Linked DNA regions of Arabidopsis thaliana. The protein of the gene in region 2 binds, or shares a complex with, the protein of the main gene of each other region. Each region holds a gene or a part of one and is shown on either strand. Other genes may lie near its edges. The genes, in order: PnsB4, Pnsl5, NdhS and PnsB1.

Region 1 (4,406 bases), on a different chromosome or scaffold from region 2:
AAATAATTATAATGGAATATGGTAAATATGTGTCATTAACAAGTCATCAATCATGTTTGGGCCAGAATTAAAATTGTACAACTATAAGAATTAATTGACACACGACAAAATACACTACATGCAGTGATGCAGATCTTTTTTTTGTTTAAATAAAAATGTTACATCATATCTCCTGTCATGTGTTCCTAACACACACACAAAAAAAAGAAATATCTGAAAATTAAACTTAAATTTGAAAAGAAAACAAAAACAATAAACCACACGTGTGGTTTACAATTACAAGCTCGAAGAGGCTTTGAAACATGGAAGCACGAAGGTTACTGACAAAGACATGACAAGCTCTCCTTCTTCACCTCTGCTAACTTATTTTTTGTTTTTAAAGATTGATTAGTTTTGGTTTTTGTCAGGTAGAATCGTGCAGAAGCGTATTTCCCGCTAATTGTTCCTCATCAGACTCACTTTCCAGTCTATACGACCAATTAATTTAGCCCCAATTGACTAAATTTTTTATACTTAAAAATAATAAATATTCACTCTGACCAACTTGCGACCGAAGAAATCAAGAAAAGCAAATTAAGATAGTTTACCAAACATAATTATTTATATTTTTAAGACATCGGATGTCGTCAACAATAAATTTCTGAAGGAGACAATTGCTCCTAACATGATCGTTCAATGATTCAGAACACAAGACAACAAAGAAGTACATAACATATATTATATATATGGAAGCTAGAGAGTATATATAATGTTGCATGACTGATATAAGAAAATATATAATGTGTATGTAAAGTGGTTTATGATTCACAAGTTAGTTTTCTACTTAGTAACAGCTTCTTCAAGCTCTCTTAAGCCACCAACCTTCTGTTCAATTTCTTCGATAAGTTCTTCACGCCATAGCTCCGCTCTTGCTTTCTCTTCTATGTCTTCTTGCTGCATCATATAACCCAAAACACAATAACAACTCTATCCAATCTTATAATAGTTGTACACATTGTGAATCTGTGATGATATACCAAAGGTCAATGGCCCGAGCAAGCCCAGCCCGACCCAACTTAGGATCAATGTTACCTACCATCAGATCTGTTAACGTTTGAATTATTATATCAAGCCCAACCCGGCTCAAACTTACTAAGCATGATTGATCTATCAATAGGATGGATCAATGTTACCTACCATCTATCAGATTGTGACTTTCGTTTAGATGATCAAGGTTGTGGATTCATATTTTTGGGTGCATATATACCAACGGTAAACGCTAACCTAAAAGCCACCTATTTTTCTTTGTTTAGGGAGGTTTATCGCATGCTGAGACACATGGAGGAGTACTCAAAACCGGCTCTGAACAGGTCTACATGGCCTACTAAGACCAAGGTGGGATAGTCTGAGGTCAAACTAGATCTGAACTGGTCCACAGGGTCTAGTAAGACCACAGCGGGTTGGTCGGTCCATTGCAACATCCCTAGTTATAATTTGTATGCATTTCTAAGTTTTTTTCTTTCTTTCCTAATAGTATTAGAAAGGGAGAGATACATACAGTTTCATAGACCCAATATCCAGTTCCATCCCCTCCATCTCCACGGTACTCCTCTGAGTCGTAGAATGGATCCTGTATTGATCCAATATCACAAAGTACTATTAAGATCCCAATGCAGCAAATGTATCAAAAGATTCAGTTTGAGTTGTTGTTTTCATACTTTTGCTGAACCGAAGTACAAACATCCCCAACAAGTGAACATGATGTAGAACATATCTGCCATATCAAGATCAATATCAAAACATAAGAAAAAGAAGAAAAAAAAGTCTAAGAAAGAAAATAAAATCTCTCAAGAAACCCCAAGTGTTTAACTTACAAACATTCTTGATAGCTTTATCACTTAGATGCCACACGTGTTTCTCTGTAATGATATCACGCATTCCTTCTATTTGTTGAACCATCACAGCCATTAATGGCAAATCATGTGGCAATGCCTTTCTTACACATAAGCTTCCTCTCATCAAATTCCTTTCCCTCTTCTCATTAACATTCTTCTAATTTTTCAAATTCTAAGACGTAAATTCACAAGAATATGGAGATTTTTTTTCTAATTTTAGTCTTAGTTAGAGAAAATTACTTACAGATAGCCAATATCCATGATTCGGTCCTGAATTCTGCTTCGGCTACAACACAATACACAATTCTTAAACTTTTTTTCGTAATGAAATATTTTTGGTAAGAATATAAAATAATATGTACCGAGTGATTGTAGGAAGAAGGAATATGAAGATTTGTGAAGGTGAAACTTGTGAAAGCTTCAGCCATTGTTACTTCTTGATGGTGGCAATGGAGAAGAAAAAAAAAAAATGTTGGTGTAATCTTTTTTATTTTTTCATTTATTTTAATCTTTAAGATTAGATTTTTTGAGGCAGAAAATGTGTGGATAAGGGAATTGGTATCGTCCACTCTTCACTTTTGTGATAAACAAAATAAAAAAATAACGTACGTTAGCAATCACATCGCATAACACTTTTTTTGTCTTTTAAAAGCCCAATTTAGACAATCACAGTACACATTTTAGCCTTCTAAAACGCTCAGGTTGGGAACAACTATTTGCCTTAAAGAGTGGTAAAGATATTTCCAGCAAAATTCAACTACAAACTTTCGTATTTTACCCGTCCAACAAACTTTCCATTCGCGCAGGTTAGCAATCACTAAACACGTTCACTCCTCTAGACGTGCAAGTTAGTAACCACACTAAAATTGCTAATAAATCTTTGGTTGGTGAAATTCAAACTTTCCGCTTATGTCTCTTCCCAAATACATCATTTGTTGAATAGCGTACGTTGGCAACTATTGCCAAACTTTTAATGATATTTCCATCTAATTCAACTTCCTATGCGCGCATGTTAGCAATCATCCCAAATACATCATTCGTTGAATAGTGTATGTTCTATTTGCCAAACTTTCAATGATGTATATCCATCTAAACCAGCTTTTATTCGCGCATGTTAGCAATCACAATAACACGTCTACTCTTCTTAGCGACTAGTATTTTGTCAAAAGTCGGAAGAAAATCTCCGGCCAAGTCAACTTCTATCGCTTTAAAAAGCGCATGTTAGCTATTAAAAAGCGCACGTTAGCATCATTTTCGGGAAATTGCTAATCAAACTTTCCACTTTCGTCTTCTTCCCGTGTATATCTTTAATCTCCTCTGTTTGGTGACTATTATCCAATTTCCACCGATCTTCTCCTCATAAAAACACCTCTTCCTCAACGAATTTTTTATCCATGAGTCGCATAATGGGATTGTTCGATCTCGAGAAACACTTCGCCTTCTACGGTGCTTACCATAGCAATCCGATCAACATTCTAATCCACATCATCTTCGTTTGGCCAATCTTCTTCTCAGTTTTACTTCTCCTCCACTCGTCGACCCCAATTTTCGACCCCTCTCAATTAGGGTTTTCTCAATCGTTGACCCTCGACGGCGTTTTGCGATTTAACGTTGGGTTTATATTCGCCTTGATTTATGCTCTGTTCTATATCGGTTTGGATAAGAAATCTGGATTTGTAGCTGCTCTTATGTGTTTCTCTTGCTGGGTTGGTTCCAGTTTTCTTGCTGTTCGACTAGGATCTTCTCTTGCCTTAAAGGTTAGATTTTTTTTCTCTAATTTCAATTTAGGGTTTTTGAAAAAACTTCATTTTTGGAGAAAATAATTGCGTAGAAGCATGTTTATGAGGGTATATGACTATGTGTATCCATGTGTTGCTCTATGTGTATATTTATATGATGTGAGTGTGGTTCATGCATTTATTGTTCATTGTTTTCTATGCTTTGACTTGAAAGTTCGTTTATATCATTGGTTATGCTCGGGGAAGAAGAAATAGATTTATTTATATCATTAGTCCTCTCTATCTGTTGTCTATGGGTCCCTTCATTAGCTGTTAACGTTGAGACAGCAGTACTAATATCATGTCTCTAGCTTTGAACATTCATGATTAGTAGTTATTGCAGTTTGTTCTGCAATTGTCCACCTTTGCACGGTTCTGATTCTTTGGTCCGGAGACTTGTCATGTTTTTAGTGTTGTTGACTCATTGGTTAAGAGGATTTGATGTGTGCTTGGACGGAAACAAGTGTTGTTCTTGACCACCAACATTTGGATGGTCTCAGATAATTAGAATCTACATCACTTGTTTAACTAAAGTTTGGTTTTTCTTCCATAGTATTTGAGACATCTGTAACTTAGGAGCTTTTTTATGTATCTTCTGTGTTGTGAATCATTTGATTAGTTTATATGTATCTTCAGTCTGAATCATTTGATTAGTTTGTTATATGTATTCAACAGCAAGGGGAAAACAGTTAATACTCACCAAGACGCCAACTCTCTCTGTTATGTAGATACTGTAACAATTTAATTGTCTTTT
Region 2 (4,803 bases):
TGAAGTGGGAGAGAGGAGAGAGAGACGTGAGACACGCACGACACACAGACTCTTCAAGTAGTGGGAGCGTCTTTATAGAAAAGTGAGTGGCGCGACTTACAAATAAAACCGTCCAGCTTCCCGGCCCCAATTTCGTAACTCACAGGCCCATCTGTGTTATTAGAGCAACCCTAATGGTTAAACTTTTAATAGGTTTTTTCCAATTTTTTTAATTTTAAAATTTGAGATTTGAATTTAAGAGATTTTGTTGGTCTCTTAATTTTTCTTGGTTTAATGGTAGAAATTTTTAGTGAGTTTCTTATAGTAAAAAATATTATTAAAATGAAAATTATAAATATTCTATTTTATAAAATTTAATAATTAATACAAATACTAAAATTTTAAACCTACAAGAAATGAATATTGAGAATCGGAATAACAATTAGTAGTTAGTTTGATTCCCACCAAATTTGTGTTATATATGCTCAACCAAATCACCTTTCAATTGTTGATGCATAGCCCGATCACGAACTCGAGCACGAGAGACCATAAAATTACCGAGATTTGAAGACATATCTGTAGAGTAGTTAAAATAACTTGTGAAGAGATGGTTGATTCTGGTAGTATGAATTTAGATGCACCAAACGATTTTTTTCAATTTAGTCTTTGATTTGATTATTACGCCCTATGATGAGGAGCTCGACACATATCATCTTTCATCAACATTGACATCGCCATCGTAAATGGAAATAACGAAATGAAAACAATTCAACCGAAATGAAAAGAAAAAAATTGGGTCATATTTTTCCTTCTCTTCCCTCTCCACCAATAGAAGTTTGCCATGTAGGGTCCCTTTGTTGTTTGAAAAATACCGTAAGAGAGAAACAACCCTCTCAATTAAACTGATTTCTAATTTATTTTGGGCTATATAATTCAAGGGACCAACCCTCAAAAGCCCCTTAGAGGCTGCCGTTGGAGTTGGTCTCAGATACAAGGTTTAATTAGTTTTAACTTGCTCTAAAGCCTCTCTACTATAACTTTATTACATTTTGTTTAGTAACAAATGACATTCCCTCTTTTTCTCCCTTTTTGAAATAAATATTCTTTAGATTTACACAATTTTGTTGTTTTTTAGAACTGTTCATCGAAAAATTTCGTCATATTGTCACTAAACTTTTGTAACTTCTAAGAAATTTCCAATATGTTTTCAAAATTTTACCATATAAATACTAATTTTAAGAGAAAATTTGTATCAATAATATGGATTAAAACATGAAGTTAGATTTTTTTTAAAAAGCTTAAAGCCCAATTTTTTTAAAAAAATTGCAAATAATCAGTCTTGAGAATTGAGCATGTTACCAATTCATGTTATACGGAATTAACACTGAACTATATTTCGTTTAACCGTTAAATTATACATGGTACAAAAAAATTGATGTCGTTTACTACTATATAAATATTGTTGATGCCTTTTACTTGCTTGAGCCCAAGATCAACTCTACCTTCTATTTCCGTAATGAATGACAACATATAATCTTATAACTGTATTAATTTATAATTTTTTTATATGACTCGGTTAATTTCCGCGCGATGCATATTTTGTTTTGAAAAAATATTTTTGATTTGTATTTATGGTTTTATTTTCTTATATTAAATAAATATCAGAAATAGTGAACACACTATTTTCTTATAGTAGGTTTGTATTTTAGTTTATGAGATTAGTGTCATTTTGATACGATGAGTTTTTCTTTGTTTGCACTTTGCACAGGTAAATATGCTTCATAGGATCGGCTGACCTGACCCACTCAAAATTGACTCGATGCGAAGCCACGTAACCGGCAGGGGCATAACTGTAAATAACCATGGAATGTATTTCTCAGACTCTTTCGTGCTATCACTCGCTCATCGTCACCTTCACCTTCACCTACCATTTTTGCCAACAAACGCGAGCAAGAGTTTTGAGCTCCAATGGCGACCTTGTCGATGACTCTGGTGCGTTTAATTTTTCCCTTTTGTACTTTTGATTTTGTTTTACCTTTCCGCTTCTTCTGCTTCTCCTGCTCTAATTTTCGGTTATCATCATAGTCAAATCCGAAGTCGCTCTCAGCTCCTCCACGAAGACTTTCTCCGATCAATACCTCCGCTTTCACATCTACCTCTTTCCGATTGCGCACCAAATCTTCCTTCGATTCAATCTCGTTCTCGTCTTCAACTCCCTTCTCCGCCTCATCGCTCCTCCTTCACACGTCTTATACCAAAAGAAACCACCGCTGTTTCTCTGTTCAATCCAATGCTGAGGTTAGGGATTCTCTCATATCTTGTTAGTCACTGATGTCATTTGATGGAATTGGTTGTTTTATTCAGCTTACTCTTAGTTTTTTTTTTCCATTAGATTTACTAAAAGCTATGGAATCATAATATGATGTGGATTTTGTATTCCAGGTGGTTACTGAACCGCAATCGAAAATAACACACAAGGTGTATTTCGATATAAGTGTTGGCAATCCAGTGGGGAAGTTAGCTGGGAGGATTGTTATTGGATTGTATGGTGATGATGTTCCCCAAACTGTGGAGAACTTTCGTGCTCTATGCACAGGTGAAAAGGGATTTGGCTACAAGGGTTCTACATTCCATCGTGTCATCAGAGATTTCATGATTCAGGGAGGAGACTTTGAGAAGGGCAATGTGAGTTTTTCTGGCTGAATTCCTTGGCAGCACCAGTTTCTTGTTAGCTGACTTGCGGTCCATATTATGTTTCTTTTGATTTACTTTGGTTCATCTTATTTTCTGCCAAATCACAAAGTAAAGTAAGCTGTCTCATATCAGGATGGCAGGATGTTTATTAATTTCTTGGATGTGGTACATAGTATAAGTCAAATCTTTCTCGATAAGGAAGGATGCTTAAGTTCTTACTTGTACGGATTTAGAGTCGCTCTTGAAAGCACATGTTTGGGTACATTAATAGGAAAAAGCCTGACCTTTGGAGAGCTTTCTACAGACAATCTTTCTGATAGCTGGCTCTCTGATTTGTAGATCAGTGGCTTTAGAAGAACAACCCCTGTTAATCTTAGACTTTTGTTCTTTTCTATATAGATAATACCTGGGCTGTAGGGAACTTATATACTGGTTCGTGGGTATGCAACTAGCTGTAGCTCGGTAGAAATATATTGTTATTTTCTGTTTCTGCCCATCTCAGTTACCGAAGATTCTTCTAGTAACTGCTAGGAGAATTCCATAATAATGATACAGAAGTCTAATTGTTGAGCAGGGAACTGGAGGTAAAAGTGTATATGGCCGTACATTCAAGGATGAGAATTTCAAGTGTAAGTCTATCCTTTTTCACTTGTTTCCTTCTTCTTCATTCTCCCCAGCTGTGCTTTAGCATTCATATTTATCAGTGGTAATGCATTTTAACTAAACATTTCTGCATTCTCTTTTTAGCTGAGCTGAGTATAATATATACCAAACCTTCAGTTTTATAAAATTCATGAAAGTAATAATGTGCTATACGCTGCAGTATCCCATGTCGGACCAGGAGTTCTAAGTATGGCAAATGCTGGCCCTAATACAAATGGAAGTCAGTTCTTTATCTGCACTATTAAGGTAAAATCTCCCTCTGGTTAAGGCCTATTGTTAAATTAGAAGTTATACGTAGGCAAGCGAGCATCAACAATAAAGAACACAGGTATTACAGTATATAGAATCCAATAATATAACCTAAAGAGTAGAGTTTTGAAATTGGAAACGAAGAACCATCCAAGCTTTGTTGGGAAATTTAGTGTATATCAAATTAATATGCGATAACGATGTGGACAGACGTCATGGTTGGACGGAAGACATGTGGTGTTCGGGCAAGTAATAGAAGGAATGGAAGTGGTGAAGCTGATAGAGGAACAAGAGACAGACAGAGGAGACCGTCCCAGAAAGAAAGTGGTGATAGCAGACTGTGGTCAACTTCCAATGTCTGAAGCTTAAAAGTAAGATCATTTAACCAAAATCTTGTAGACATGAGATGGAGCTTGTTTTTGCATTTTACAACCCTTTCTTTTGTGTAATGGATTTGTATCCCCTTCTTCCAAAAATTTAAGAAAGAAATAGTATTCCGCTGCCGGGTGTTGAACTCATATTTCATTTCATTGGTTTGTTTCGAAATTAACCATTGTGTTATAGCGGTTCAGTTGCATTACTAAGATACAAAATCTGAAGATTCAAGAGTAGTCGATGCAGTTGTGAAATTGGTCTGTGTAATACAGCGGATTTGTTGGTTTGGTATACGAGCAATTTGTATTTAAAGTCCGATCTCTTCATAAAAAAGTAAGAACAACAATTGAAACAAAAAATATTCCGCTGCCCGGATTTGATCCCGGATTTCATTTTGAGTAGTGAAATTGGCCTGTGTGCTACAGCGGACTTGTTTGATTTATATACGAGGGATTTGTTTTTAAAGTCTGATATCTTATTGAAAACAATACTAATTAAAATAATAAGTATTCCGCTGCCGGGGTTTGATCCCGGATTTCATATTGAGTAGTGAAATTGGCCTGTGTGCTACAGCGGACTTTTTGGTTTTGTATATGAGTGATTTGTATTTAAAGTCTGATATCTTATTGAAAACTAACTAATTGAACCAAAAAGTATTACGCTGCCGAGGTTTGAGCCCGGATTTCAAATTCTGTTGTGAAATTGGCATGTGTGCTACAGCGGACTTGTTGAACATGTATCCGATCAATTTGTATATAAAGTCTGCTTTCAGATTAATGAACAATATAATTACTTGTACCTATCACATGTTTGTATTTTAGTGTTCTTTCTTTTTGGTCAACC
Region 3 (3,406 bases), on a different chromosome or scaffold from region 2:
GGTTTCTGCGAGTCCGTGACTGGCTATAAGGCCTACTCTAAACAAAACCACCCGAAAAAACAATTCATTTCAGCTCAGAATTTCCCTTCTTAGCATATTTATTCGCTAACAATTTACCTCAGAGAACTATCGTCCTTTGGCTGCGAAGATGATGGAGTATCGTGCTGAGAAGATTCTGCTGTGGGACTAGGAGCACTAAAGTGATCAGGTAATATGTTTAGCTTCTTAGGAGTACCATCATCCATGAATTGAAACGACTCCAGAACCTTCCACTAGAAAATGAATCAAAGCTTAGCCAGAGATGAAACTACTCTAAAACTCTCAGCTTGTAGTACATTGATTCCCCAAAAGAAGTCGAAAAAATCACATAGTTAAAAACTTTTTTGTCCATTCAAGAGATGTCATCTGAGCATGATCTAATCTAGATTCTGATATGAGACAAACTCCTATATGAACTTTAGCATTCCATGAACATTATTTAATCTCCCTAAATGACTTGTCTCTCAGTCTCTATCTTATGCTTATTCTTATCATAGATCTAATCCACAAGTATGTATGTATCATCACTTGGAGAGATATATAACTACTAAAAATCCTTATTCCTCACTGAGGATCAAACATACCTCTTTATATATCTTTCAACGCCGAATTTTACAATCCCACTTCACCAGAAATTTTGATATCCCTTGTGAGAAATCAGCTCGCTGTAAAAGAAAAACAAAGTTCAGCTTCTACAAAAAGAAAGAGGACGAAAATGAACTCTTTCTTTTTCCCATTCTAGATTTTATTAGCTCAAATTAAAAACAACAGAATCGAATTTTCTGGAAACCCTAACAAAATACAAAAACATTGAGCAGAAATAGAAGCTCGGAAGTCGGAATCGAATGACGGGAACCTCGAATAATTTGAAAAAATTGACTGAAGAGAAGATCGAGACCTTGTTTTTACCTGATCGAATGTGATCTCTGTATTCAAGGGAAAGTGTTTACGCAATTGGTTTTTTGGTTGAGTGCTTACTGCTTCAGCAGGAAGAAGATGTTGGGTTTGGGAATTTTACTCATAAAGAAACTTTAAATTTGGTACCAAAAAGACGCTTTTATCCCCCGGTTAGGTTGCGTCAGCCAGCTCTACCCACATGGGCATTGCTGCAGATATTACAAGTTTTGTAATTTGTTAACGAATGTTTGTAAACTTTTGACTAATCTTATCTACAATATAATGAATTTATCGAATCAATGTAAAAGTTGTTTTCATTCATGCTTAATACATTAATTGATCAAAGTTGCCAACTAAGTATTTGGTGATGCCGATGAGTGTAAAGGACAGCCTAAGACAAAAGTGTATGTCTAATTATGATTTGGGAGTATGGGATTCCAATTATTAATGTCGTTGACCCAAATGATTTATCTTCTTCTTGCTGCTTTTTTCTTAATAAACAAACAAATCCACATTATTAGCATTTAGCAATATGTTTAATTACATTACCATTGTTTTTAATCTAGGCCCATATCTCTTAAGAATATTCAAACTTGGTCCAGGTTAAACTTATGACAAAGCCCAAATGTTCCTACTCTTTCTCCTAAATCATTATTCCAAACACCGGTTACGCATTAACCGGTTCAGGTCCACTGGTAATTTGGAAATAGATAGAACTCATCTAACTGAAATCATGATATGTGGTCATTATAACAAGCGAATCAATCACACGCTTCTTCCTTCCTCTTCCATCTTCTTCATATCTCCCTTAGTCACCTCTACTCTACTCTGCAGGCAAAAATAGTTATGGCGACTTCTTCGATCACTATCCCGACCATTAGAACTCCGATTCATCGATCAAAATTTCTAGGCCAAACACATCAATTTTCAACTGTAAACCGGTCGGTTTTCCCGCCTCCAAAACAGCAGTCAAAACTGTATCAAGTAAAGGCCATGGGTAAATTCAATCTATGGGAAGTGATGGGAGGAAGAGGATTATGCAACGGAGAGAAAGGTATTGAGAAGGAGCTCCAGAGGAACATTGAAGACGAGCAAGAGACATCAAAGGCTGAGAACAACGAGACAGAGAGAGAGAGCGATGACAGTAACTTGTCTTTTAAAGTACCTGAAGATGGTTTCGAGAAAGAGATGATGGGTCTCACAGGAGGATTTCCCGGTGGCGAAAAGGGTTTAAAAACGTTTATCGAAAAAAATCCACCACCTCCTCCACCACCACCACCTGCAAAACAAGGAAGCGATGCATCCGCGGTTGCTACAGATAAGAAGCCGAAAGCGCCCAAGCTACCCCTTCTCATGCCGGGGATGATTGCTATAGTCAAGAACCAGAACAGTCCGTATCACATGTATTGTGGAATTGTGCAGAGGATCACTGATGGAAAAGCTGGTGTCTTGTTCGAAGGAGGAAACTGGGACCGTCTCATTACTTTCAGGCTTGAAGAGCTTGAACGAAGAGAAAAAGGTCCACCGGGTAAGAATCCAAAGTCTTGTATTCTCGAGCCTCTTATCGAACAGATGCAAAAGGAAGAGGCAGCACCATAAGTGATCTTCTCTTCTCTGTATGTAAGTTCCTGTGAATGTATATGTAACGTACCTTTGCGTTTTAGGCTACAATATTTCTGACTGGTTCTAAAAGAGCTTCATCATGTGATATAAAAAAAAGAATAAACGATGAATTTCAATCATAAAGCACTTAATAATAGAGATTCAAATGCACTCAATCAATGATGAATCAGTATAGAAGTTAAAAACTGCAATGGAGTAGTTTTATTGTTATCATTGGTTGTTGTAAACATCAACCATATCAGTTTCTTCTTGACTATCGAGTATATTCTGTAAATGGTAAAGATGAGAAGTGATCCACCATTCTTGTCAACAGATCATGTTGAAATGATCAGATGCAGCCTCCCAACTGTAAAAAAAATTCAGAAAAGGATAAGGAAGTTAGAAACAGAACAATATTATTAAATCATGAAAAGGGTTCTCTCAACTTGTAATTGGTCACATAATTATAACTTAGTAGTTGGTCACACATTATACTGTTAGATACATGTTCATCTAAGTGTTGTTATACATGTCAAAATGAAGTTACATACCAAAATGGCTTCCATTTCTTCGTTTGAAACTGGCGTGCGCTTTGGCTGCGATGATGCCTTCCCGCCAGTAGTCTTTTGGATGTTGTTCAAATTGGAGAAGAACAATGTATCAGCTTCATTTGCCACCTGACTCTTTCCCTCTGAAGCTGCAATGCCAGAAAGTAAATCGCATAACAAACAGATGATTACCCAAACCAAAAGCTAAAAAACATAAGAGCTTCTCTATAATGATTCGAGATTTGATAACAAACACGATTCGATTCAATGGCTAAACAAATCTGTGTATCCTTTGAATCTAACTATGTAAATGCAAATCA
Region 4 (4,764 bases), on a different chromosome or scaffold from region 2:
TGACGCAATCTGTGAGAGATTAAAGCCGAGTCTTTTCACGGAAAGCACTTACATTGTGCGTGAAGGAGACCCCGTTAACGAAATGATGTTCATAATCCGAGGCCGGTTAGAAAGTGTAACAACAGATGGGGGAAGAAGCGGTTTCTTCAACAGAGGGTTGTTAAAAGAAGGAGACTTTTGTGGTGAAGAGCTTCTGACATGGGCTCTTGACCCTAAAGCAGGCTCAAACTTACCTTCTTCCACAAGAACAGTGAAGGCTCTGACTGAAGTAGAGGCTTTCGCTCTTGAAGCTGAAGAGCTGAAGTTTGTAGCAAGTCAGTTTAGGAGACTTCATAGTCGACAGGTTCAACAAACATTTAGGTTTTACTCTCAGCAATGGAGAACTTGGGCTTCTTGCTTCATCCAAGCTGCTTGGCGTCGCTATTCAAGAAGGAAAAACGCTGAATTGAGACGGATTGAAGAAAAAGAAGAAGAATTGGGTTATGAAGATGAATATGATGATGAGAGTGACAAGAGGCCTATGGTTATCACAAGAAGTGAGTCTTCTTCTAGACTGCGTTCAACGATATTTGCATCAAGATTTGCTGCTAATGCATTGAAAGGGCACAGACTTAGGAGCTCAGAGAGTTCAAAGACCTTGATAAATCTGCAAAAGCCTCCGGAACCTGATTTTGATGCTGAATAATCCAATTCTTGATGAGAGGCCAACATCAGAACAGAGACTACATAACTGATTTATACACATAAATGCTCTATATATAGAACTTGTTTCAGAAACTGTAAAGTTATCTACACGAGAGCCAATGATCCTTCAAAGACCTGCATTGCATTTTTAACAGTTCCAATGTCGATATCTGCTAGTTTTCCAGTCTTCGAAGCAATAATTACACAGTTACTCTTCTCTTCTGCATACGGTACAAAGAGCTTCCCTTTCTCTTCTGAAGAGAACAACCCAATACTGGAAGAAAAAGAAGCACACACATGTTAGTTCTTGAAAACATTGAATCAGTACTCTTTATATTACTCAGGTATTCACCATGGTTTGTCTCGCGCATTAGCTAGTTGAATCGCAGCTGTGTTTGTTGCGATGACTCCAGCAGAATCGTTTATCAGAGCAGCCAACTAAGTAAGCTCAAGAAAAGGAATCAAAGTAAGATCAGTGAATTCAACTTTGTTCATAACAAATACAGACAGATAAGCATGCATACCTGTCCTGGTGTTGTGATGAACACTATAGATGTATCATCACCCACAAAATCTTCAACGTTTTCTCTTTCTTTCTCATGTGGAATCACAAAGACCGGCTTGAATCCCCTGGCATTGTTCACAATCATATCTCAGAGAATTTCAAACTAAGCAAAAAATTCACATTTTGAAGGTGTGTAATAATTACCTTACACCCTTTATAATCTTAGCCCATTTTTCAAGTGAAAGTAAACTATCAGCATCTCCTTTTGATTGCATTGATGCCTTAGAATCTGATTCAATACCATGAATCACTATAAACTTCCCCGTCACTGCTCCAGCATTCCTATACTTTGCAGCCACAACCTCTTTCACTTTCCGTGAAATCGATACCCTAAGTGGCAACAGAGGAGTCCTTGGAACACTCCTAAACGGTCTTCCTAACCAATCTTCCATCTGAGTATACCTGAAACCATCAACAGTCAATTTAGACAGGCGATAAAAAAACCTGCAGTTTCTTCGGTTTCAAGGAACTCACATGCTATAACCTAATTCTGAAAGGTTGGTATTTTCTGCTGTAAAGGTCTCGGACAGCATCAGACCAGCTCCTGCAGAGTTAACATTCGGGTAAATGTAACTAACCCTGTCTCGAGCCGTTGTCATGAACAAGAACGCTGCGTGGCCTAACCCTGCTAGCTTCGTGGACAGAACCATGTCATAGTACCTTCCCTGAAACATGACTTAAAAGAAAAGTTAACTAAGCAGTCTGATAAAGGAAAGATAGAAAAAACGTTGAAATATTTGAAAGTTACAAACTTTGAGGAGTCCGATCATGTCTGTGTATTCAGCTGGTTCAGGCCAATGATCATCCGGATCATACACATTGGCCCATCTCACGTTTTTGTTTAGCTCGTATGTTTGTTTTCCTCTTTCAGTCGTTAATATATCTACCTGAACACCAGGATACCTTACAAAACAACAGAAACGTACGGACAATGTTCTGCATTTCAGTTTAAGGTTTTAAAAAAATGTCGAATCGGAGACAGAGTCTTATACTTTTATTACCTGTCTTTGATTAGCTGAATAGTCGGGAAAAAGAGTAGATTCTCGTAAACGCCACCGGAGATAACGCAGCAACATCGTCTAACATCTCCTCTGATTTTCAACGGTAAAGAAGCAAGCTCGACGGTGTAACCCTTTGGAAACTTCAAGAAGCCGTAAGGGTTATCAGGATTATCCGGTGGTCTTGGATCCTCGTCTTGTTTTCCGTCGGCAAACAAGGACCCGTATTCGTTATCCGGGTCTTCACCGCTATCAAACGGGTCGAGCCACGGATTATTCTTCTTCTTGAGATTGACCGATACATCGGAAGATCTCGACGTAAGACGAGTTTGAAAGTTGAGGAAGACGAGTGGTTTGGAGGTAGAAAACGGCGGCGTTTTAAAGAATGGGGAAATGGGTTTGGGTAACAGAGGAAGTGAAGAAGCCATTGGAAGGTTTTTTTGAGCCAAAGAAAGAAAAGTTTGGATTTTTAAATGTTGTGAAAGAAAACAGATCTCTGTAGGAACTTAGGATAAGTGGGTCCCTTTTGTGGCAATTTTCCGACCATAGAAGAAAACTTAGCATTTAATTTATTTATTTTGGTTATGGCAATTCCAGAAATTATTCTCTGTTCGATTAATTAAAACTTTTGTCTTTACATTGGTTGATACGCACGAGCAAAGAAACATTCCTAATCTCAGAACTCAGAAGCATTAACCAACTGATTACAGTAAGCAATTAAACCATTTAACTTGTCGGGTCGAGCAATAAGGACCCGTTTCATTGTCGGGTCGAGGAACAAAAGAACAGAAAAAGCAGAAGAACCAAACGATGACGTGTTAAGTCGTGACTGGTGAATGACCTTTTCTCCTCGTCTCTCTCTCTCGATTTGATTCGTTTCGTCGTCGATCAGAAAAAGCTTCTTTCTTTCTTTTTTTTTTCTGGGTTTTTCTGAAGTCAAAAGCTTTTTTTTTCTTCATTGTTCAAAGATTTTATTTTGTTGCTCATTGTTTCTAACCTTGCTTTTCTCGTGAACACAGCAAGCAACTTGGTTTAGTTTTACTAGAAGATTCCTAAAAATGAGATATTTAGCGGTGACAAAAAAGTTTCATTTTTGGTGCTAATGTAGCTGTAAAGTCTAGGCCTTCCGATATATAATCTCTTGAAATAAGTTTCGAGACTGTTGGAAATAGCAATTTTGTTGTTGTTGTGTGATCCAGTGATAGATCTGTGAAATCAAAAAGCAGTTTTTTGTGAGAATCGGGTCAATGTCGGTTCCTCCTAGATTCCGGTCCGTAAATTCCGATGAGCGAGAGTTCCGATCAGTTCTTGGTCCTACCGGGAACAAGCTGCAGAGGAAACCACCGGGGATGAAACTGGAGAAGCCGATGATGGAGAAGACCATCATCGACTCAAAAGATGAGAAAGCGAAGAAACCAACTACTCCGGCTTCACCAAGGACGACTCTGAAGCAATGCTCGTCTCTTTGCTCTTCGATTTTGAGAAAGAATAGTGCTTCAATGACTGCTTCGTATTCCTCTGATGCTTCGTCTTCGTGTGAGTCATCGCCTTTGAGCGTGGCGTCTTCTTCGAGCTGTAAGAAGGTTGTGAGGCGAAGTGGGTCTGTCTCTTCTACAAGGAAGCTGAGTGTTGGGAAAGAAGAAGAGAAGGTTTCTGGTGATTGCTTCGCTGATGGTCGTAAAAGGTGTGCTTGGATCACACCTAAAGCTGGTAAGCATCAAACTTTCACCTATCACACATTGCATAGTGAGAGAGCTTTTGACTTTAGATGCATTCAAATAAATGAAATGAGTGAAAATGTGAATGTGAGATTGAGTTTAGCCTGATTGTGTGAGATGATAAAGTTCTTATCTAGTTGAATCAAATGGGACTGAATTGAGACAAGGAGCTAGTGTTTTTTGTTTGATCTAATTATGTTCTTCTGTATGTGAATATTAAGTAATTCAATGGCCAACAAAATGTTTCAATTGCTATGTATTTTATTCAGTGAGCATTGTGTAGATCATTTGCTATGTTGCATAACTTATGAAGTAGCTTGTCCTGAAGTTCTCTTATAAATATTTTAACTTCTCAGTGTCCATGAAATTTAGATGAAGGATGTTTTGATTAGCTGATAGATCCACTTCGTTTATGCTTTTAGTGTAAGCCAAACAGCGTTTTCTGGATTCTCTATACTAATGAGCATAAATGTTTCCATGCCAAGAGGCACTTTCCATTATTCTTTGTTGTTCTCTCATGCTTCATATCTTTCTCTGCTGTAAATTGACTAATAATGTTGCGTTTTTCTACGTTGTAAAGACCCGTGCTATGTTGCTTTCCATGACGAAGAATGGGGAGTTCCTGTACATGACGACAAGTATGTGGCATCCTCAACTATTTTCCTTCTATCTGAGATACACTTTGTAGTTATAAGAGTCTCTTACCGCTTGGTTAACTTGTGTAGGAAGCTTTTTGAGTTATTATGCCTCTCTGGTGCTCTAGCCGAACTCTCATGGACCGACATTCTCTCCAGAAGAC

Evidence for each region.
Region 1: Pnsl5 (region 2) and PnsB4 share a complex: the UniProt entries of both Arabidopsis thaliana proteins name them as parts of the chloroplast NDH complex.
Region 3: Pnsl5 (region 2) and NdhS share a complex: the UniProt entries of both Arabidopsis thaliana proteins name them as parts of the chloroplast NDH complex.
Region 4: Pnsl5 (region 2) and PnsB1 share a complex: the UniProt entries of both Arabidopsis thaliana proteins name them as parts of the chloroplast NDH complex.

The regions. Positions count from the first base shown.
Region 1 is NC_003070.9:6,458,521-6,462,926, reverse strand, and holds PnsB4 (NDH dependent flow 6), read right to left. Parts: upstream 2,525-4,406; 5' UTR 2,303-2,524; coding exon 2,237-2,302; intron 2,161-2,236; coding exon 2,119-2,160; intron 2,084-2,118; exon of another isoform or gene 2,032-2,083; coding exon 1,854-2,031; intron 1,754-1,853; coding exon 1,698-1,753; intron 1,610-1,697; coding exon 1,538-1,609; coding exon of another isoform or gene 1,463-1,537; exon of another isoform or gene 1,084-1,462; coding exon of another isoform or gene 1,078-1,083; exon of another isoform or gene 934-1,077; coding exon 820-933; 3' UTR 583-819; downstream 1-582. Other genes in the region: AT1G18720 (ER membrane protein, putative (DUF962)), read left to right, coding at 3,269-3,631. UniProt on the Arabidopsis thaliana protein: NDH shuttles electrons from NAD(P)H:plastoquinone, via FMN and iron-sulfur (Fe-S) centers, to quinones in the photosynthetic chain and possibly in a chloroplast respiratory chain.
Region 2 is NC_003076.8:4,161,865-4,166,667, reverse strand, and holds Pnsl5 (cyclophilin 20-2), read left to right. Parts: upstream 1-1,744; 5' UTR 1,745-1,947; coding exon 1,948-1,971; intron 1,972-2,064; coding exon 2,065-2,277; intron 2,278-2,421; coding exon 2,422-2,664; intron 2,665-3,247; coding exon 3,248-3,302; intron 3,303-3,496; coding exon 3,497-3,582; intron 3,583-3,795; coding exon 3,796-3,954; 3' UTR 3,955-4,294; downstream 4,295-4,803. UniProt on the Arabidopsis thaliana protein: NDH shuttles electrons from NAD(P)H:plastoquinone, via FMN and iron-sulfur (Fe-S) centers, to quinones in the photosynthetic chain and possibly in a chloroplast respiratory chain.
Region 3 is NC_003075.7:12,419,722-12,423,127, reverse strand, and holds NdhS (NAD(P)H-quinone oxidoreductase subunit S), read left to right. Parts: upstream 1-1,663; 5' UTR 1,664-1,782; coding exon 1,783-2,535; 3' UTR 2,536-2,714; downstream 2,715-3,406. Other genes in the region: AT4G23895 (Pleckstrin homology (PH) domain-containing protein), read right to left, coding at 1-32, 118-245; AT4G23885 (uncharacterized protein), read right to left, coding at 2,888-2,905, 3,090-3,235. UniProt on the Arabidopsis thaliana protein: NDH shuttles electrons from NAD(P)H:plastoquinone, via FMN and iron-sulfur (Fe-S) centers, to quinones in the photosynthetic chain and possibly in a chloroplast respiratory chain.
Region 4 is NC_003070.9:5,487,225-5,491,988, reverse strand, and holds PnsB1 (NDH-dependent cyclic electron flow 1), read right to left. Parts: upstream 2,845-4,764; 5' UTR 2,676-2,844; coding exon 2,251-2,675; intron 2,153-2,250; coding exon 2,002-2,152; intron 1,915-2,001; coding exon 1,724-1,914; intron 1,652-1,723; coding exon 1,394-1,651; intron 1,315-1,393; coding exon 1,209-1,314; intron 1,123-1,208; coding exon 1,037-1,122; intron 959-1,036; coding exon 790-958; 3' UTR 686-789; downstream 1-685. Other genes in the region: CNGC7 (cyclic nucleotide gated channel 7), read left to right, coding at 1-685; AT1G15970 (DNA glycosylase superfamily protein), read left to right, coding at 3,495-3,957, 4,546-4,603, 4,691-4,764. UniProt on the Arabidopsis thaliana protein: NDH shuttles electrons from NAD(P)H:plastoquinone, via FMN and iron-sulfur (Fe-S) centers, to quinones in the photosynthetic chain and possibly in a chloroplast respiratory chain.